2 linked regions of the Caenorhabditis elegans genome follow. The protein of the gene in region 1 interacts with the protein of each later gene in a pairwise test. Each region holds a gene or a part of one and is shown on either strand. Other genes may lie near its edges.

Evidence for each region. Proteins that work in one complex are often made in the same cells at the same time.
Region 2: the proteins of nhr-1 (region 1) and lips-9 interact in a two-hybrid assay, tested with the Caenorhabditis elegans proteins (one large-scale study listed by BioGRID).

What each region holds. Positions count from the first base shown.
Region 1 is NC_003284.9:17,515,672-17,526,608, forward strand, and holds the start of nhr-1 (Nuclear hormone receptor family member nhr-1), read left to right. Parts: upstream 1-4,063; 5' UTR 4,064-4,345; coding exon 4,346-4,535; intron 4,536-5,151; coding exon 5,152-5,239; intron 5,240-5,311; exon of another isoform or gene 5,312-5,520; intron 5,521-6,553; coding exon 6,554-6,633; intron 6,634-6,744; coding exon 6,745-6,810; intron 6,811-7,803; coding exon 7,804-7,922; intron 7,923-8,152; coding exon 8,153-8,299; intron 8,300-8,348; coding exon 8,349-8,483; coding exon of another isoform or gene 8,484-8,612; intron 8,613-10,633; coding exon 10,634-10,762; intron 10,763-10,810; coding exon 10,811-10,937. UniProt on the Caenorhabditis elegans protein: Orphan nuclear receptor which acts in concert with the insulin/IGF-1-like signaling (IIS) pathway during osmotic stress, perhaps in response to a ligand modified by the sulfotransferase ssu-1.
Region 2 is NC_003280.10:12,930,778-12,941,714, forward strand, and holds lips-9 (LIPaSe related), read right to left. Parts: upstream 4,586-10,937; 5' UTR 4,581-4,585; coding exon 4,315-4,580; intron 4,262-4,314; coding exon 4,147-4,261; intron 3,975-4,146; coding exon 3,872-3,974; intron 3,765-3,871; coding exon 3,556-3,764; intron 3,466-3,555; coding exon 3,373-3,465; intron 3,323-3,372; coding exon 3,200-3,322; 3' UTR 3,077-3,199; downstream 1-3,076. Other genes in the region: dct-18 (DAF-16/FOXO Controlled, germline Tumor affecting), read left to right, coding at 1,097-1,319, 2,086-2,224, 2,275-2,503, 2,572-2,652; arrd-10 (Arrestin C-terminal-like domain-containing protein), read left to right, coding at 9,333-9,392, 9,598-9,669, 9,724-9,825, 9,875-9,994.

The sequences.
Region 1 (10,937 bases):
TAAGCCAAATTTTGTGCTCCATAAGAATATTATCCTGCCCATATCTCGTGCTTAAGCCTATCAAAGGCTTCCATTGATTATTCATGACTGGAAATTGTCGGCTTTGAAAAGCGGAATTATTATTTACAATTTGATATTTGAAAAATGTCTGGTCACTATGGTAGTGTGACATTCTTGAAATGCTTATTTTCTCGTTTATTTTTTGAGAAGAGAAAGTTATGATCTCAAAACACACAAATTTCTTGAGAAAATTCTGAGAAAAAAAACGTTTCTTATTTAGAATAAGTAACCCTGAACATTCTAGCTCCATGAAAATTTCTTCTTAAATAATTTTTTTTTAATTTTCTATGCCACACTAGAACTGTATGCTGAAACAGACAGTATTATCTGTTTCTCTAATTTAGGAAACATAGGATTTTCAAATTTGCTAAGAACTACCTTCAAATGGTTTCAGCGCTTTTCATTTTCCAGGTTCTACATTTTTTTGATTGTATATTGTCTGACATTTAGAAATACGTTTGAAAAATTTCAAATTTGAAGGAATGCAGATATAACTTTAAAAATCTAAATTTTTCAAAAAGGACAAGGCTGCATTAGCGTTGCTGGAAATTAAAATATGAAGCTTCATGATTTTTTAAAATTTTGATTTTAATTTTTTCTGAAGTATTTTGAATATATTTCAGCGAAACCGTCAAAAATATTCTGATAATTTTAAAACAAATGCCTATGACTACTTACGTCTGAAAACCCGTATTTCTTCCAGTTAGCCTTCCAAAAACTGCAACTTTTTTTTGTGAAATACTCTAACAACTCAAACACCATTTTATTATTCAAAGTTATTTTTCTATTTTCTACTCTTCTCCATTTTCCGTTCCTGGAAGTTGATCTCCATCCTCTACAACTCAACATTCGCGTGTCAAAGCTGAGATCATATATGCCCCAATCCTTCATAGTGAGCACAACGAAAACCGACTAAATATTCCAAATGAATAAATGTATATCAATTTTCGGGAGGAGAGATGATGTCAATGTTGCTCCGTTGAAGCCGAATGCTTAATTCACACGAGGCATTCAATCCTATCAAATTGTGGCTCCCCTTGATTTTTAATCTCTTATTCAGTTACAGAATTTTGAATTTTTGTTCCTTCAAAGATCAGAATATACTTTTCGAGGGATCTAAAACAACTTGGCAAACCTGGGAAATGTAATTTTTGTTCATCACAGTGTTGTGTGAGAAGGAGGAGAGGGCTGAGAAAATCTGAGAAGATGAAGACTAAGTGATATAGTGATAAAACTCAGGTCAATAATCAATATCTCCCTCCGTCTCCCCAGTCATTTCACTCAATCTTTCTGCATCTTCTTCTTGAATACCTCCCCCCACCTTCCTCCTTCCTTCATTGCTTCTAATCTTTGCGTCAAGATCAGTCTTTGCTGCTGCCTCTGCGGGAAAACCGGGCGCGAAAGGACCCAATTTTCAAAGTCATCGTTTCTTCCCCCCATCCCCTCCTCACCTTTCGAATTTGTTTTTGGTCGAAAGTGTAATGTAAAACGATCTTAGATCATTGGTGCCGAAAAAAAAATAAAACGAGCGAGTTATTTGCACCCGTCTCGCGCTTTTTTGAATGTTTCAAAAGAGTTTGGAAAATGCGAGGGGGTCTTTCTTTGAGTTTAACTTTTTTGTAGCAGTATTTTTTTTTGAAAGGAGGAGTAGTGGTTACATTAATTCAAATTAACAAAAAAAACAAAGTGAACATTCCAAGAATGTCAGTTAACATTATTGGAAATTGCCACATTTTTTTGGATTTTTGAGCTTTTTAGAAGTGTAGAAAATTCTGGTATTTTAGAATTCCTAAAATGTTCAAATACAACTACGTCAAGCATGATTTTTAAAGTTTGTTAAATTCTTATTAACTTTCAAAAAATGGCGAAAACTGACGTTTTTCAATTTTAAAATGATAAGGACTATCTAGAAATTTTAGAGAATATGTAGCAAATAAAAAAATGGTTTGATATTAGTTTACTAATTTAAAATTGTACTTTAATTGCAGCCGATTCATTAAATTTATAAAACTTACCACAATTTCAAAAAATTCAGCCTATGGCTCTCTCCTAAACTTACTCTACTCTCCTACTCTCCTAAACTTACTCTTAAAAATATGTCAAATAATAATCTAGTGAAACATGAAAAAATCAATAACAGAATTATTTTTATCAACAACCCTCCGCCCTGCCTCTGATCATATCGAAAACACGCTCTTGTTTCTATTTTTGTGCCACCCCCTTTTTCCTCTCTTGCCTGATCAATTTTGTGACGTTGACTCTACCATTATTCATAATTTTTGACAAGTTTCTCAAATTTAGTCTCTTCCCTTTCATCAGCTGACAGATATTTTTATGACAAATAACACACACAACTTTACGACGATGGTCTGATCTACGTGTTTCGAAATCAAAAGAGTATGGACTGATTGATCGCACAGTTGAAAGTCTACACTGTCTGGTATAAAAGTTCAAGAAAATATTATGGTAAATGTGACTCATGGTTTCTTTTTTTTCTCGAATATCTATTTCTAAAGCTTTTTTTAAACTATAATTTTCAAAACCTTCAACTTATTGGTCATTCCAAAAAGAACTTTTGCTCCATCTTCTTGCTCTTTTGCTCATCTCTCGATCTTTGTAACACACATACACACATATGCACCTCGTTCTCGAAACTCGACTACTCAAACACCGTCGTGTACATATCCGATATCTTCTCGTTTTTTTTTTTCAGAAAGTATCCTCCGCACATACTTCTCATACATAGCACACAACGTCAACCGAATTCCGAATTAACGAGCCTCCGCCGCTCGCCGAATGTGAGTTTTTTTTTGTAGGCATGCTCTTTTTTTTTCATTCACATCAAGTTTTGATGGATTGGATTAGATTTGGGGTTTTGCCTTTTGCGCTTTTAGTCGTTGGTTGGTGCCTTGCTCTTAACTATAATTGATATATATATTCTGAGTGATCGTATAATCCTTGAGAGTATTAGCTTACTTCTTCAAAATCCAAAAAACTTCTGCCAACACCACGGATTTTGGTGGTATGAAAAAGGTGTCAGATTAGGAAGAACGTTGGCTGTTTTTTCTTGCGGAAAAAGAAAACCTTGACAAAACAACAGAAAAAAGGATTGGACTCTATTTCCAGAGGAAGTAGATAAGGATGGGAATTAACGGAACATTAAAAATCTAAAAAAAACTTCGTTCAACATTCCTGACTATTGTCCTATTTTGACTACGATTTTTGAAACTAAAAATAACCTAGGTCACTGAGCCAGTTGAAACTTAGATTCAAAATTGCCACAACTAAAAGTTCCTTGCATTTTTTTGCTCAACCTCTATCTTGGCGTTTTTTTAATTTTCTAGATAAAATGATATCCTTTTCAGCGACTTTTTGAGATTTTTTTTTAATTTTCAGTGTTCAAAATCATGATGGTTCTGTTAATTTAACTTTTTAAAGTATAGATCTTATTTTCAGACTATTTAAGATCTCGAAACTATATAGGTTCTGCTCTTTTTCAATTTTTGGCTGATTAACTGGATTAGAAACATTTAAAGGTCTCTATCGTCTCCACAAGAAAAAAACATGTTTTCTGTTTCTCCGGAAATGACCTTGGAATTCAAAGACTCTAGTTAATTCGATCTCTGATCAGATATCAGAAAGCATAATTCAAGTTACAAGCCTCCCCTGACTTTGCACAACAATTCGATTGGAAGCATCTTGATCCATCAACCTGTTCAATATTTTTTTTTCTTGTTTCAAATTGAGCAATTCCAAATGGAATGAAATTTTGGAAGATGGAGCAGATAGGCTTATGGTTGAGTTGAAAAGGAAATGGAAAAATTCGTCTCCTTTCCCTTTGCAGTCCTCTCATTTTTTGAGCTTCTCCTTCGTTGGTCCCTCGTGTTTTTTTTCGTCGTTTCTTTTTTCTTCTTCTTTTTTCCCATTGCATTTTTCTTCCCTTCACGGCCCCCTTTCTCTCGTGGGGGCCCTGGCGTTGTCGCCCACAAGCTCCGCCCAGTTCACCACTCTTCTTCTTTCTTTGCTCTCTCCAGCTCGCCGAGCTTCTTCTCCCAGTTTTCTTCGCTCACTGCTCCTTTCATTTTTTTTCTTTGATCGTGCTCACCCTTCGTTGTCGTAGTCTACTTGAGACGACGTGGCGGTGGTGTGCTCACTAAGGAAACTAAATATTCTCGCGCAACACCAACGACTGGCGACCGAAGACGACGTGTGCTTTGCTCCGTCGTCTTCCCCCTACAGTTCTTCGGGACACCGCGGCGAACCACCAATGCACGTGTTTTATAGTATGAACGGTACACTGGCCGATCAACTGCAAAGCCATCTGGCCAACTACGGGCAGCCAATGGTCAACTCGCAACGCAACGAGGATCCGTCAATGTATATGAATGGATCAGCCGCCTCCGTTTCCCACACCAACGGCTCATCCTCGATGGGCAATGATCAAAAATTTCCGTCTTATAAGCGAATGGCTCAACGTAAGTTTTATCCGTTTTATTACTCGGAAAGTTGGAAAATTTAGTAAATTATCATGCTCTTTCCCAGTGGTTTCTTTCTTCAAAATAATTTTGTTTTGATGCTGAATAGGTTTTATGAATTTACAAAATTGAAAATATGAAATGAGAAAAACAAAGCATTTAGGTGAACTAGCGTACATTGACAACATTTTTTTGCTATTCGGCAGCTCAGTTTTTCAAAATATTTTTTTGTGAAGATCATATTGGTTGGATGTACTTGTGTATTCCCGCATTTTAAATACTATGTGATTTCTCAGTTGAATTGTAAATTCAATTTTAAAACAAATCTATTTGAAATAAACTGAGGAGACAGTGTTGTCAGTTTAGTGTGAACTGAAATTTTTTAAATTTGCAAGAAAACACAACATTGTTGAATTGGTTTTTCCATAAAATTTATAGTTTTTGCAAAATTTCTAATAACACTTTTTAAATGTACTTTATAAAAATTTTTAAATTTCCAATAATCCTCTAAAAATTCCCGAACCTTGAAGCTTTACGATTTCTCCACCTAGACAGTTCAAAAAGTTTCTTTAAACACGCTTAACCCCCCAACAATATTAAATTTCACTTTTTTTAGGAAGGAAAGTGCCCGAAGGAGAGCTGTGCGCAGTTTGCTCGGACCTTGCCACTGGATATCACTACGGAGTGGCTAGCTGCAATGGATGGTACGTGGCTGTTTTTTTGTTGTTGCCAGAAAAGATAAAATGACGTTGGACTTTTACACTCGACCCCCACCAAATGAGACTAGGAAGCTGGAGCTCACTGAGCTCTCTGGGGACAATCGTGTTCTTTGCTTCACTCCGCTATCCGTTTCCTCCCCTCTCCGCTGCCTGAAGCGAGACGGGTAAAACTGAGTGAAATGTGATAATGCTTAGGAGGGGCCCTTTAAAACTTGGCCTTTTTGTGTCTTGTTGGTCTTTAGGTTTTGCCTTCTTCCAAAATTTCTAGTCCTCACTCAGTGACCAACAAGCAAACAATGAACTCAATAGACTATGTGAATATGGAGGGGCTCCTTTTTTGGTTTGGTTCTCTGGTTTGCTTGCTCTTGTCAAAACCACACATGCCAAGTTCACCTTGTCTTCAATTTTTTCTCTTTTCTTTTTTTCATCTCGGCCAATAGTAAAAGTAGAAGACCCTTTGAATAAGGGGAGAAAAGCGAAAAAAGCGATCAAGTAGAAAATCGCGTCACGCTTTCGAGAGCACATAGAGCAATAGTGGCAGCAGTAGCTGCACGAGGCAATTTAGAAAGATGGGGAAAAATCCACGAAACATTTTTTTCCTCCCCAATTCTTTCGCTCTGAGGAAATTAATGATGGTCTATGTTCTCTTCCAACATAAGGGTACCAAGATTTTCTCACTCATTTTGATAATTTGATTGGATTTTAGAGAGAGAGATTACATTAGAGACATTAGAATAATTGAGTAATTCAATATTTCAAGACCAAAGAACTAGATGGTGTTCCCCAGAACAATGTTACTGTTGAAATTTTGGTTGCGATTTTCTTTAAAAAAAATTGTCAATTACTATTTCAAAACTCAAAAAACATAGGGTACTTAACTAGTAGCCGTATTTCATGTTAAAAATAGTTTAAGTTTTTTAGTTTTAAGCCAAAAATGGTGATTTGTAAGTCTAATCTTTGTTCAAATGTTTAGCCTTTAAAAAGTATACTTTTGCAAAATGAAAATTTAAAAACTTTTCGAAAAAGCTGGCTAAAATAATTTTAATCGGTACACAATTTTTTTTTGTGACATCGGTTTGAGGAAGGTAATAACTTTTTTCGAAAGCTAATAAAATGTATTTCAAATAAATATAAAAAATCGAATAAACTTTAAGGTTTGATTAAAATGAAACCTCAGGAAACACTTTTGAACATTTGAAAGCAAGTTTATCATAAGTTTCCGCTGAATATATTTTTCACAAAATTTTGTGACAGTTTTCAAATCATCTCCTCACTTCAAACCTAAAAATCTGTTTTCAGCAAAACCTTCTTCCGACGAACAATAGTCAGTGAGCAAACCTTCATTTGCCAATATAATGGAAATTGTGATGTTAATAAAAGTGAGTTTTACTCTAGATTTTCTCGGAAATCGCAAATTGTCCGGTGGTGTCTGATCATGTACTTTTGCTTATTTTGAAAGCATTTTTCAACTAAAAAAAAACTACTTGCAGACATTCGATGTGCATGCCGTCACTGCCGCTTCAACAAATGCCTATTGGTGGGGATGGACGCAAAAGGTAAGTGAAGAGCTCCTGAATATACAATAACCCGTTTGATGACATCCTACGGAGCAGCCAGGGGATTGCAAATTAAAGATACCGACACCAAAACAAGAAGCGTGATAATTAGAGCTTTGACCTCTGGGGTTATTTTTCCGGCGGGAAAATCACACCAAAACACGTGAAGTTGATCTCTGGTGTGGCTCTGTGGTTTGAGTTAAGCCGCGGATTCACGAATTCACGAATTTATAGACACTTTATTGGAACTTTTGCTTATTTTCTCTTCTCAAATGAAAAACACCCTTTTGAAAGGCTTCAATTTGAGTGATCAGTCGGTTTTGCTAGCTGAAAATCGAGATTTGAAAATCTGAAATCATTTGTTAAAAATACTGGGAAAATATATGAAAATTATGATTTCATTAAGTGAGAAAAAAAACAAGATAATTTGTTTTGACATTGAGAGCATAACAATCTAGCTATTTCCGTCAAGACTGAAAAGGAACTAAGTGAAAAATTTATAAAATGACGTAAAAGTTTGTTGCGAAAAATTCTACAACATATAAATTTGCTTAAAAAACGCTGACGTAAACTGACAACAAACTATGCTCAATTTTTATTCAGAAGCAGGACTTTTTGCATCGAAATTCGTGATAAAAAATGAAAGATGAAAATTTTCTATACTGAAAAATTAACAGGAAAAAAATTTGTTGCCAATTAGTTATTTATTGGGAGTTTAATAGAATGGAACTTTAGTGAAACAACGCAAATATTGATTTAAAACCACATCACATTTCAGTTTATTCATATATTATAAATGCCAAAATAACTTGACAGCAATTTTTGCTCTATTACCGAGTAAATTTTGAGAAATAAGCGGAAGGAGTTGTCAGTTTACACTTAATTTTTTGGCGCTGTAAAATGTTTGGAGAAAAATTGTCTATATTTTATTGAAAACACTAGGAACCAGTGGTCCCCCGCCCATCCTTAGAACTGTCGGCAAATGAAGTTTAGCCTTACAAATTCCAGCAATCCAGAATGATCGAGATCGGATTGGGCCAACGAAGAAAATCAAGATGAGCAGCGGATCTGACGACGAGCAAGCCACCACTCCACACCGTCTTCAGGACCAGGTCAGTGGGCGAAACACATTTACCCCAATTTGGATGCATCTTGAATTTCAACAATTTTAACATGTTTCAATGGTTTCTGATCATTGTAACCTAATATGGGGCTTCCTGGCGGAAGGCTGAGGAAAATGAATCTGAGCACGCTCGAAAAAAGAGAAAGGGTCCAAACAAACTCGAGACATAGCAAATAGAAATTGCTGCTAGGTTTTTTCTTGCTTAAATTTTTTTTTCAGGAAATCATCGACCAGCTCACACAAGTTGAAGGGCTGTGCCAGGAGTTGCGACGCTGCATAATTCCTGAAGTGACCGGAGTGACACATGCACTGACGTCCCCTTGCCTACTTTTTGAGACCACTGACCTTAAAGTAGACGTGAGTCTGGTGATCAACTAGTCTCACGTTCCCAGTCACCCATTCATTTTAACTTCAGACCAATACGATTTTCAAAGAGCTCTTCCCGGCGTCGATGAACGACATTCGTATGTGGAACATTCGCGAGATGCGCATCTGCATCGAGTGGGCAAAGACGTTCGATGTTTACCAGAGGCTCAACCTTTTTGATCAGGTGGGTACAAGAAACTTTGGCTGTTGGGGGATTGAAGTTTTCATTCTGCCCAAAAATTATGCTGTCGGAAAGCTAGGCAAATCTGAAGTTGTTTTTTCCCAGAAAATTCTAGAACAACTGCAATTTTGAGTTTTAAATTATTAAATATCAGCGCTGGAGTTTCATTAGCTTCCTAAAGTGGTTATTCAGAAAAAAACTGTAATTTGAAAGTTTCACTTTGAATATCCCTGAAAAAAAGCGTCTGAAAATTTAAAATTGAAAGCTTCCTGGAAAACCCCCAAAGGGAAGAATTTTAGTTTTGCAGTGACACTCGTTTTCAGTTTTGTTTTAAAGAAATCCGTAAATTTAAATTTTGAATATTGCTGAAATCATGCTTGTTCGTTTTTCGTTTTGAAAGTTCATTTTTTAATTGAAATCAGATCAAACCAATTTAGAATTGGTTGTCCGCTTATTCAATATCAAAACCAAAACTGCTCAATTTTGAGAGATTTTTTGAGACAAGCCGTGTGCTATAAAAGTACAGGGTGGGGAATAAATATAGCGCCGCAATTTTGCACGACCTCTGACGCCTGTGGAACCATTTTCGTAGCGCGCATTTTGATTTTTTTTATTCATTATTTTGTTTTTAACTATTTCTGAAAGGTTCAGCCATTTATATAAACTTTGCAGGTAATGGTGGCTGATTCTCCATTCCAATCTTCAATTGTGGAATATTCGAAAAGCGGAGTGACTTTTCCGAAGATCGTAAGAAGCTCTGTATCGGAAATCTGTGGTTAATCGAACTTTGATCCGGTTCAGAGAGTTTCGGACTTTGATGGACAAAAAACGAATTGGTCATCCGGTGTTTGTGACGACTCCTTCACTCGTCAAAGCCGTCCGAGAGCAAATATGGAGAGATCCGGAAAGAAGCATGAGAAAGATATCAACGGAGCTTGGGATGAGCCCGAAATCAATGAGAATTATTGTCAGAAACGTGCTTCGTATGATACTTCATCAATTTCAAAAGAGTGCCTTTATTACAGACCGTAACAAGGAGTTACGTTTGAAGAAAGCAAAAATTATCTTGAGTGGCACGCTTTTAAAGACACTATTTAAAAATGAAAAATATTCATTGTAGAGGCCAAAAAGAACGGTCAGAACGGACGGATTTTAGCCCTCGAGTATGAAATTGCTTAAAAGAAAAAAAATCCTTAATAAAATTTCTCACTCTGCCGCAGTGATGGATTCGGCGGAATCTGCTCCGATGGTAAGACATCACTGGGTTTTGACGATGTAGAAGCCAAAATCAACAAGGAATACTACATTCAGAAGATTTTTGTGCCGGAAGTGTTGCCTTGGTCCAAATCCCACTTCACCAACCGTGATTGGACGTCACAGCATGACGATGCGCCTACCCAGCAAATACGACTCAGCAGTGATTTAAGACGAATTTCCCGGCTTTCATCACGAAAGATCAACGGCCTGCTTCCAGCCGAGATAGATTCCGATGGATTTCGCTGTGTAGGGATATTTGACCCAACAGGTTTGCACAAAAAATTATCAAAATTTGGGAGCCCTGAAGATAGCCTTGGCAGCTGCATGGGACAATCTAGACGTCAACTGCCTCCGTGCCGTCGTCAACTCACATGGGACTTCGGCCGTTATCAAATCAAAAGGAGAGATATTTCAAAACTGTTAATGCTATGTTTTTGTAATTGCTTAATAAACATTATGTTAGATTTTTACGAAAAAATCTTTAGATTTGAAGCTTTTACACCGTCCTGAATGCGGCGCTATATTTATTCCCCACCCTGTACAGACACATTTCCACCTGATAGCTGACAGTGGATTTTCAGCGGGTTTTCCCCTGAAACACTAAACATCACACGGTCAAGAACGATTTTTTCTAGCCCCAATACCGATAATGAAACAGAGCGCGCGCACCAAAAAAAAACTAAAATAATAAAAGTTAGATGGCCAATGACCATCCGCTTTGCATGTCCATGTGATGCAAATTTTAATGAAGAAAGTAGCTTTTCGAGCAAGTTCTTACACAATCTGAAATCTTAAGATCTACATGTAAACAACAATTATAACTCAGAATATAAAACTTTGAGTTTTGGTTGTGAAGGGGTTTTCTTGTTAAGGGAAACGAAATGTATTATTTTCAGTTTGCCCTCGTCCGAAACTTTGCCTTCGCATTTAATCTGCTCAACAGAGTGTTCTACTCGCCGGACCATGGACCAGATAAGATTGTCTTCCAAAATGGAGCCTTCATCATGAGACAGCCACAACAACAGGTACACAACAACTTATTTAAACTAGAATTATTTTCTGTGTGTTTCTAGGTCCAACTCTCGGGATGCCGGCCTATCTACACTCGACAAATGGACGAGATTATGATTCCATTCCGCAAATTGCAGTTGAGCGTGGCCGAGTTTGCCACCTTCAAAGCCGCTTTGTTTTTTAATCCAG
Region 2 (10,937 bases), on another chromosome or scaffold:
AAAAAAAAAATAATGGATTGTTAGAATTTGTTTCAAAAATTGTCCTTAAATCTAGTAAATAGCCTATTTATTTAATTTATTTATTAAAATGTGAAGAAAGCTAGATGAAGTTCTAATAGGTAGGTAGGCAGGTAGGTAGGTCGGTAGGTGGGTAGGCACAGGGATGGGCGGCAAACGATTTTTTCCGGCAAATTTGCAAATCGGCAAATTTCCGGAATTGAAAATTTCCGGCAAATCGGCAAACCGGCAAATTGCAGGGTTAGAAAATTCCCCTCTAAACATTTCCGGCAAATCTGATATTCGGCGAACGGCAAATTGACAATTTGCCAAAGTGAGTATTTCCGGCAAATCTGATATTCGGCGAACGGCAAACCGGCAATTTGCCAAAATAAATATTTCCAGCAAATCGGTAAACCGGCGATTTGCCGATTCGCCGAGTTTGTCGACAAATCAATTTGCCAAACGGCATTTGCCGCCCACCCCTGGGAAGGTAGGTAGATAGGTAGTTGGGTATGGGTATGGGTATGTATGTATTTATTTTTTTCGAATTTTCATTTTTCAAATATGGTTTAATTGCAAGAATACACTAAATTTCTAAAAAGGTTCTTTTTGTAATTTTGCAACATGCCAAAACTTTAATGTTTTGGGCCATACTTTGTCAAAATTTGCACTGGCGCTACTCTTGAAAATTCCATGTAAAAAATGTGTCCTTATTTTTGACAGTGCCTATTGTGCCTATTTTGAAACTTTCCTCCAAAACCACAAATTCCATCAATTATTCATCCCAGGAATAGCCACGTCGTCGGTAAGTACACGTCGCATACCGCCTCTCTATTGTATTTGCCCTCCACCAGCGTCTCTCAAATCCATACACTATCTCTGAGCACTAATCAAATTTGGAGCCATCTCCGCAATTGGCTTCTTATCAGGTCATATATTGATAAGAACCAGAAACTTTTCTTCTTTTCCTTATATTGCATTCTACAAATCGTATTGTGCTCGTTGTGTTTGAACAGCCTTAATTCTATTGTTCATTTTTTTTTCAACAATTTCAGTTTCCTCAAATTTTCAAATTTCAATTCCCAAAAATTCCAGCATGCTATTCAAGTGGCTCGTTCTTGCCGCCTTCGTGACTGTGGCCTGGTCCAAGTGCGAGGACGGAGTGGATAATGTCATCAAGTTCACGGACACCACCAGAGGAAAGGGAAAAATTATTTTCACCGATTTCGAGGTGACCACCTACGATGAGAACAAGGAGCCATCTTGCAAGAAGGGAAAGCCGCAGTTCAGACTTCCAGGACACTTCAAGCTTCACAAGGGTTAGTTTTGTTTTTTGAACTCTGTGAAATTGTGTGTGATAAACAAGCTACGTAGCGGCACGTCAGACCGACAAATATGGGTCATAATGAATTCAAATTTGAAGCTAGTGAATACAAAAAGTATGTGGGAAAATTTGGAAAAGGGACTTTTTAGTCAAAAGATATAACATAAAAAGTTCCAATATTCGAGTTCTAGTCAAAAAGAGGTGCGCCTACCCCATGCCTGGTGCCTGCCTACCTCTTTTATTTGCATGCTGGAGCAGAGTGAAAAATTTGGCAGGAAGTTGGCCTGGACAGATGTCGGCTGCAAATTATTGAGATTTCCGGCGCATCTCTTTGTTTGAGAACCTACCTGCCTTTCTGCCTAGCGCTTCGGTGACCGAATACCGTCTAATTCTTGACACGTCAGGCACATCACTATGCCTTAGGGTCTTCGTACCTGCCTTCATCGCGAGTAAAGTAGACAGGAAGAAGTAGGCATTTTGTGTCTACATAGAAAACCTGAAACACATAATCAGGCACGTCTTCATGCCTAGAAATCTACGTGCCTGCCTGCCTAGAGATTATGTTGATGCCTACCGCATATAATTGACATTTTATAGTTAACTTTGGTGCGTTTGAATTGATTTATTGAAATCAGTCAGATAAAAAATTTGCAGGATTTTTCAAAGGTACTTTAGTAGTAGCTACGCGTGTAGGCATGAGACAGGCGTAGGATACCTTGAAGGCAAGCAAGCCTACAAACCAAGATCCATATTTTTTTCAGGATTCATCACTGTCAACGAGCCAATCACCGACGAAGACTCCCTGGAGCTCGCGCTGAACGTCGAGAAGGACAGCTTCATGATCGGAAAAGTGTGCTCCAATGGAAAATCTGAGAACTCGTTTGTCCCGGATCAACTTTGGTTAGCGATTTTAAGCGTTCAATTTACATCTCAAATTGTATATATTTCAGCAAATACACCCTCTGCTCACTTGCTCCAAGTGTGTGCTCGGTCCTCAAGATCAAGACCAACGGACCAATCGACGTGACCCCATTCGTGCAAAAGGAGCCAATTGACATCGGAGCCCTGCCAATTCCACAACTCGGAGGAGACTGGAAGGTCGGAGCAAGAATCGTTCAAAACGGAAAAACCTTGGCTGGAGTTCAACTTGGAAATGGAAAGACGTGGTTGAATATTTATGTGAGTTGAATAGTTGAATAGTTAAATTATTAGATTCCAAAATCAACGAATAAATTTCTAATTTTCAGTCTGAGGAAGGAAAGGGAGGATCAGTGAACTACGACGCAGTGCCACCAGGTGGACCAAGCTTCGATCACGAGGAATTGTAGACTTAATAGTGGTTTTGTTAATTGTTGTTGCTATTTTGACATTATAATTATTATACTTGACATTTAATTTATATAAATAAAAATTTAAGAAAATAGTGGTTTTCAACTAGCAAGGCGCGTTCCAGCCTGAACTAGGCGCTGAGACACAGGTAGGCATATTTCGGCCTGAAGAATTAATCTACATAGGAAAGAATATTAGGCATTAACTAAGCGTAATAAAATCTCCAATAATACTGCTGCAAAACTGGTTTTTTTGAAATTCGTAAAAAAAGCCACAGTAATTCAAAAAATACCTGTTTATTTGGTAGGCACATCTTCAGGCCTTCTTGCCTACATGTTTGCCTACTGCCTGTTTTTCTGCACCTTGCCGAGCACAAGTACACTGTACGCTGGCACGCAGCTTAAATTAATTACAACGTTGAATACATTTCAAATCGTGTTTATTATAGTTCTCTTACACATAAATAATAAAATTCCAATATTTTCAACAATTTCAGATCATTAATAGGGTTTTAACAGGCTAGGCACGGGACACCACAAAACTTCCTTAGGTAACCACATGATCCCTGATCATACGAAGTTGAACCTCATGAGTATCGTCGAACACTTGATCGTGGTTTTTATCAGTGTAGACGCGTTGTCCATTTTGACCGGGGAGTGGGGATGTTAGCTGGAAATTGTTGAATGAAAGGATCATACTAGTTAAGAATTAAGCTGTACCTGTCCACAAACAGTGTATCCAACCATTTGGTCCTTCTGCGTGTAAATTGAGTAGGTGTATTGTCCTTCATAATGTGCAAATTTGTTGATGTCCTGGAATATAAATTATATTTATAAAAGCTTTTAATCTGTACGCACATCCTATCAATTCTTAGGAGGCGGGCAGGCACGCGGCAGGCTTACCTGAAGGAATTCACTTTGTGCTGGGCAGTTTCCAGAGTAAAGACCGTTCACCGAATTGCAGATCGGGGTGATAGAGAGTGCGCAAGCCGGGACTGAAAGTGGTCCGAGTTGTGGAGAAGCTCCACGATTTGGTCCAGCTACTCCGATGTAGGTGTCAACGACACGTGTCAGCGGTTCTCCAAGGTACTCTCCGGTGTCGACGCAACGGCCTGAAAAATCTCAACTATTTCACAACCCTCCATTCGACTTCCGGTTCCCCTACCCTCCACCTACATACATTTCTATGCAAATCAGTTCAAATTTAAACATCAATTACCTCCAAGAATTGCTTTTCTTGACACCGGAACACCAAGCGAGAAACCGATCACATCAACGTTGCGGCCAGTGTACAAGCGGACAGCCACAATTAGAGATCGAACCTGGAAAAGTTTGAAGTGGCTTATTTTAAAGATATCTCTATAACCCTTAAAAATACCAAAAAGTTTAGAAAATTTGCTACATTTTTATAGTTGACAACTTTTTAAAAGCTTCGCTGCTGACTGAGTTACAAGCATTCAAAGCTTTATGCTTTATGAGAGTTGTCTGTCATACCTGCTTAATATATTCACACTTCATCGAGTACTCGATCCATTTCAACGGGTTTCCCTGTGCTCCGTTGAAATATGTTGTTGAATAAATCTCATTCTCTGCGTATTTTCCCTCTTTTCTAAACAAAAATAAAATTATATTCTCACTTTTCTATCAACTTTCAACTGTTACCTGAACCACTGTGCAGCCCAAAATGGCTTCTCGCCGGCTGTATCCGATACTCCGTGGACAATAATCAATGGCTGATTTTTCAGCGTATCATTGCGATTCTTTTTTCCACCGAAAGATCCACCGGGTCCAAGATCCAATCGTTCAATCTGATCTCTAACTTGAGGCCCGTAGTAATCCGCAAGCCATTGTGAGAAGTCAGGTGTGAATTTGGAAGTGACAAAAGATATCAGAAATGTGGATATTGTGAGATTCAGTAACCTTGTCATTTTCTGGAATTAAAATCTATTAGTCTATTAGAATATGTATGTTGCGAAAAATTGAATGCAAGTAGGTTTTCAAAGATTCCAGAGCTAAAATAGGATTGAATTGAAATTTAAAAAAAAAACGCCTGCCTGCCTGCAAGGAAACCTACACGTGCCTAAGTACAGTTAGGCCAAAATTTGATACATGCCTAAATTGGAAGCTTTAGCTTACCGAGGCTCTCTTGAAGTTAGGTATGTAGGCAGGCATGGTTTTGCCAACGTAATGTTTGGCTTTTTCAATACGTTTTTGGCTTTATTTAGAACAATTATAAGAGGTAGGCAGGTAGGCACAAAGCCAAAGAACAATGCCTGCCTACTTTTGGAAGTCTCAGCTTACATCTTCAGTTGAACTTTTGCTGTAGGACAGGAATGCAAGAGCGTGGCGCGTAGGCAGGTAGGCAGGCGTGGTTTTATTCAGGTAGTTTTGGGGTTTATCAACAAAAAAAGAGATAGGCAGATAGGCACGAAAAAAATAATAATGCCTGGCTACTGTCGAAGTCATATTTTCTCAATTTGAATTTTTCCCCAGTGTTCAACTTTGACATCCTATATCTCAATGGTCGTTTGGTCTATTCAAAAATTGCGAACTAGAAAAATTATATATTTCTTTTTCTATTTTTTGTAGCAATCATTTTTTTGATATCTTTAAAATTAACCAGGATATAACCTCTCAAAGAGCAATACCACTACGGTTAGCTGTCCAATGAAATGAAAAAAGTCAAACTACTAAAATAGGCTTCAAATGATAAAAATCGGAACAAAATCCAGGAAAAGTTGAATCATTTCTGAAAAGAAACACAATGAAACACCATCACCACCGCCGTCATCGTCGATGGAGTGTGGCATTTTCTCCTCCTCAAAGACCTCTCCAATCTCACTTCATTCTCTTTTCGTCGGCTTCATCTTATCCTCTCCCGTGGATTTGAAACCAGTTTGCGATTGGGGGAAGGTTGTGTTCTCATGGATTGTTTCTTTGGAGAATGGATATGCCGAAAGTTGCCAGCTTCACTTGGGCAGACTATTGGGTGGACATCTTCTTGATGGATGAAATCGAGAAGTGTCAAAAACCGTTGCGTAGGGCTTGGCGCAACAGATTTTTAGACGCTTAGCAGACTACAAAGAAGACGATGAAGGAGGAGGGAAATTGATACAGTTTACGATAACTGTACAGCTAACTATAATACTAATTGAGTGAGAAACAGTAACAAACTGTAACGCTATAAAAATGTTAAGTTCCTTAATAGTTTTCTTCGCAGCTTTATACACTGAAAGTTTCAATTATACATGTATTTCACCTTTTAATATCCTCAAGGGTTGAAATTCTATTGCTATATTCTGAAAACTTTTGAAAACTCCCAATAATTCTGAAATTGTCCGGAACAAGTTATAGAAAATTTTAAAATATTTGGGCGACTTGTGGAAAAAGGTCTCTGGTATTGTAGGCTTTGGATGCTGTAAACATTTTTTAAAACTAATCTTTTTAAATATTGCAGTTTCAGAAAATTCTCGAAAGAAGGCAGTTTGAAAATTTGTACAAAATTCCAAAAATTGTAAAAATTTAAAACCATTTTTTTTTGCTAATGTCCAAAATTGGCAAAATTTTCAAGAGGTTTTTTTAAACCAAAAAACTGTACATTTTTGAGTTATTTGCCCTTTTTTTGAGTACTTCGCAGTTTTTAAATTTGGCAAATCGGCAAGGAGCTGGTTTACCACGTGCCAAAAAATTTCGTTTGCAGTCCACTTCTGGACCTAGTAGGCTGCAATTGCCGTTCGGCAAATCGGCAAAAAATTGGCCGGAAATTTTGAATTCCGCCTATTTGCGGTTTTGCCGGAAATTTCAATATTGGAAATTTTCAGATTTGCCGGAAATTTTCTATTCCGGTAATTTGTCGATTTGCCGATTTGTCGGAAGTTTTTAAAGGGTTTTTTTTAATACGAAAACACTTAAAAATTTTTTCGATTTGCCGGAAATTTCAATTCCGGCAATTTGCCAATTTGCCGGAATATTTCAATTCCGGCTATTTGCCGATTTGCCGGAATAATTCAGTTCCGGCAATTTTCCGATTTGCCGATTGGCCGGAAATTTTCAATTCCGGCACTTTGTCGATTTTCTGGAAATTTAATTCCGGCTATTTGCCGATTTTCTGGAAATTTAATTCCGGCTATTTGCCGACTTGCAGGAAAATTTCAATTCCGACAATTTGCCGATTTGCCAGAAATTTCGATTCCGGCAGATTGTCGATTTGCCCAAAAAATCGTTTGCCGCCCACCGTTTTCTAGTAGAATTTCAAACCTTCAGTCACAATTTTCCTCAAAAAATCTATCTCCAAATAACCTTGCCCTTCTTAACTTGCAGGAAAACATAATTCACTCAACAATACCGTTACCCCAATATGTCCCAAATTATGCATATAAATTCTGCTCCCTCTCCAAATGAAATGTTGACCGTCGTTCCCCACCTGCTATTTATCACAGTGTGTCCTTCCAAATGTCACCACACCAAAACCACTCCCACTTTTTCTATTTCAATTTCAATTTCTCCCAGTTCATTTCCCAAAATTGTATCCAACGGTTGTCCATTAGGCGGCTCTCCGTCCATCAGTCTGTACCTCCCTTTGTCTTCTTCCATTTTCTAATTGTTCTATCTCTGTCGAATACTCATTTTCCCAGTTGATGTACTCAGGTGTCAACCTAGTTACCCTTTTTTTTATCTTCGTCACTCATCTTTTTGTGTGTCGGTTCAATTTCCAAAATTACCAATTTTTTTCACGATTCTCCTTCTAACTGACGGCAATTTTCAAATGTTTTTCTGACATTAGCTAAACTTTTTCTGAACTTTTTGGAGGTGTCTGAAAAATTAATTCTGAAAAATAAAAATGTTAGTATTACTTTTTATAAATTCTCAAGTGTTTTAGAGAAATTTCAGTGACTACAATCAAAATAATACTGGTAAGATTTTCAAGTGGATTGTTGACAAACTTCTAGAGTGGTTCCAGATGTTTTTAAAAAGTACCCATAGAGTTTTAAAATTCCTAGAAGTGTGATTTAAGATTTGTTTTGAAAATTAAAATTCAAATTTGATGCCAATTTTGAAAAAAAAAATTCGAATTCTGTTTCGCCTTTCTGCCAAAATTTGCCAAAAATTTGGGAAATTATTTTACCATTTTTTTTTTGCCTTTTTTTTGTTGCCAAAATAAGATTTGCCCAAATTGCATAAAATGTTCAAAACTCTGATTTGACGCCAATTTTCAGAAAACGACATTTGGAAATCTCAGAAATTTTCTAAAGAACATTAAAAAAAATATTTCAAAAAATTATTTTAAAAATTAAAAATTTGAACACTGTTTCTATAAATTTAAATTCAAACTTGGCGCCAATTGAAAATAGTTTTTAAAATTACGCCAAAATGTTTTCAAAAAATTTGGAAGACTTTTGGTAATTAAAAAAAAGTTAAATTCTATTTATTAGCGCCAAAATGAGGTTTTTAAATTTTTAATAAAAATTTGGCGACTCTTTAAAAAATTAAATTTCCATGCTCACTGCGAAATTCTGCCAAAAAAATTAATTTTCGAAGTTGCGCCAAATGAGTTTGGCTCCAAATATTTTTTTTTAATTAAGAACTCAAACTTCGCGCTGAAAATGTTTTGTAACCTAGCAATTTTTTTCGAAAAATTATAATTCAAATTTCGCGCCAGTCATCTTTTCTGATAGGATCCTCTTCACAAAATCCGAATATCCGATCACCTAGAGTACATCCGCTTCTCCTCTCCTTCCATCCACTTTTATTATCACCACAGTAATGTCCACATCGCTCTAATGACGTGGCAATTATCTGGGGGCTAATACTCCTACTCAGAGACATAGACTGTCAAACGACACTTACGAAATGACTAAGGGAGTAGCATTCGCCCAGAAAAAAAAAACAGGCGGGGCGTGGTCCGAAGTGAAAACACGTTGGAGACGAAGAGGCGCAGACGAGAAAATGAAATTGGGTTGGAGGAGAGAGGTGACACCACACAATTCGTTTTGTTGAGGAGAGACAACGCAATCATCTGACTTCTTCTCGCCTTTTTGGTTTTCCTTTATAGTTTAAGCTAATAGTACGTACACAACACCTCCATTCACTTAAGAATCTTCTTCCGTCTCTTCTTTCTTGATTTTGAACTTTTGAACCAAGCTATTGGAAGCTTTTTGATTTAAAGGCTGAGTTTCTTATAATACTCCAAAATGGCCAAATATCATATAAAAACACTCCAAAAAGGTTTTAGGGTTTTCAAAATTTTCAGTCAACGTATTGGTAAAATGTCAAAATTTCCAAAAAATGATTTTGAGTTATTTCGAGCATTGCTGCAAGGTTGAACCCCTAGATTGTTCAACTAATAAAATTCAAAACACAATTCAAACTTGAAAATCGTAGAAATTTTTTCGTTCGGACTATACATTTGAAAACTCAAATATTTTTGTAAAAAATATTTTTTTACTATGAAAACATTATATAGAAAACAAGTCATCTAAAAATTAATAATGTGTACTAATTTTATTTTATTAATATTCTTAAACCCAGATCTACAAAAATGAATTAAATTTATCCATTTTAAGCAAAAAATCAGGCACATTTTCTACCGACATTTTTTTTGAAAAGTTTGTGAATATACTTTTTTTGCTAAATCTTAATTTTCCAAAAATTCCTAAACCTAAAATTTTCAGCCAATTCGAATGAAACAAAAACGAGCGATTCGACTTCTGGTACCTGATCGTCCATTACGGGCGGGATGTGTAAGTGACACTTTTCGCTTTTTACTCAAAACATTTTCCGCTAAAACAATAACATTCTCGAAAATCCATTTTCCCGCAAATTTGTTTTACTACAAGTATTAAGGAAGCTAGGAAAAAGAAGCGTACCTAATCCGGCAGTAGTCCGGTTTTTTTCTTCTACGCCAAAATTGAGACGATAATCCAAATTAAACGAGAGATTTTGTAGAAGGAATTGGTGGAATTGTCATTGCGGATCCCCAATGCTGTGCAGATTTTGGAATCGAATGCGGTTTTTGAGGTGAGGAAGAACATTGGACTGGAACCGGTGGAAAACAACAAAATTAAATTTCAGGGTGTATGCCGTGCAACATTTTCCGGACAAGACTCCCAACACACCCTGATTAAGGAGCAACTTCACATTCCATTTACCGCCATTCAACTTCCAACAACTAAAGTGAACTTTTTAGACAGCCAAGCTTTTTCAACAAATTTGCAGTATTCAGGGTATCGATGTGATTCCAGAAGGTCATCACAGGCTCCCAATATTTCTGAACGTTCCTCATCACATGCCAGGAACATTCAACGGGAAATTTGGAGCAATTGTGTATAGGTTTTTGATCAAAGTGAGTTTTTTTAATGATCAAAGTGTGATTTTTAATAGTGAAATTTACTAGGAAACCGAGACTTATGCGATTCGATAGCCCATGTCTTATAACGGTTACTCGTGTATATTTAGTGGCAAATCTTCAGAACCCAGCTCACGGCGGGCTCTCAAAAATACTGAAAATAGCACTAAGCAATGAAGGGTCTATTTTCCAAATTTACTTTGGTAGCTCATATCTCCGCGGATAATTTTTTACAGAAAAGTCATCAACTAAAAATTTGTTGATCTACTTGTAAAGAAGAATTTTGCTGTGGAAAATTTTTTACCAAAAAATTTTTTGTTTGAGATAAAAGCGCGTGAAGTGCGGCTACTGATATTACTATTTTTAAGTTGTTATATATTCTAACGCTTTTATCTCAAACCAAATTTTTTTGATAAAAACTTTCCACTACAAACTTGTTCTTCACAAGTTGATCAACAAATTTTTAGTTGATGACTGTTCTGTAAAAAATTTATCCGCGGAGATATGAGCTACCGAAGTGTATTTGGAAAATTTGCTCTTCAATATTGCCAGGATCTTTGAGAGCCCGTTGTGAGCTTGGTTCTAGAGTTTTGCCGCTAAAATTTCACAAGTAACCGTTATTGGATATGAGCTATCAAATGGCACAGGTCTCATATGCAAGCCCCATAGGTACCTTCTGTAGGTTCCCTAGTTAGTACCAGTCGTTGTTTTTTTGCAAAATTCCAAACCACATTCCCAGGGAATTTCCCACCACTCGAAGCCTGTCACTCACTCAAAACAATTGACCCTGACTAGCCGGCAATAAACCTAGAGGTTTGTGTTAGCCGCGCCGCAGTCATGCCAACCAGAAGACCATGTCATTCTTTTTCGAAAACCCATAATTAATTTTTTTTCATCAACTGCGTTGCGCGTGAAAGTCAAAAGAAACGAGAGTCCTTGA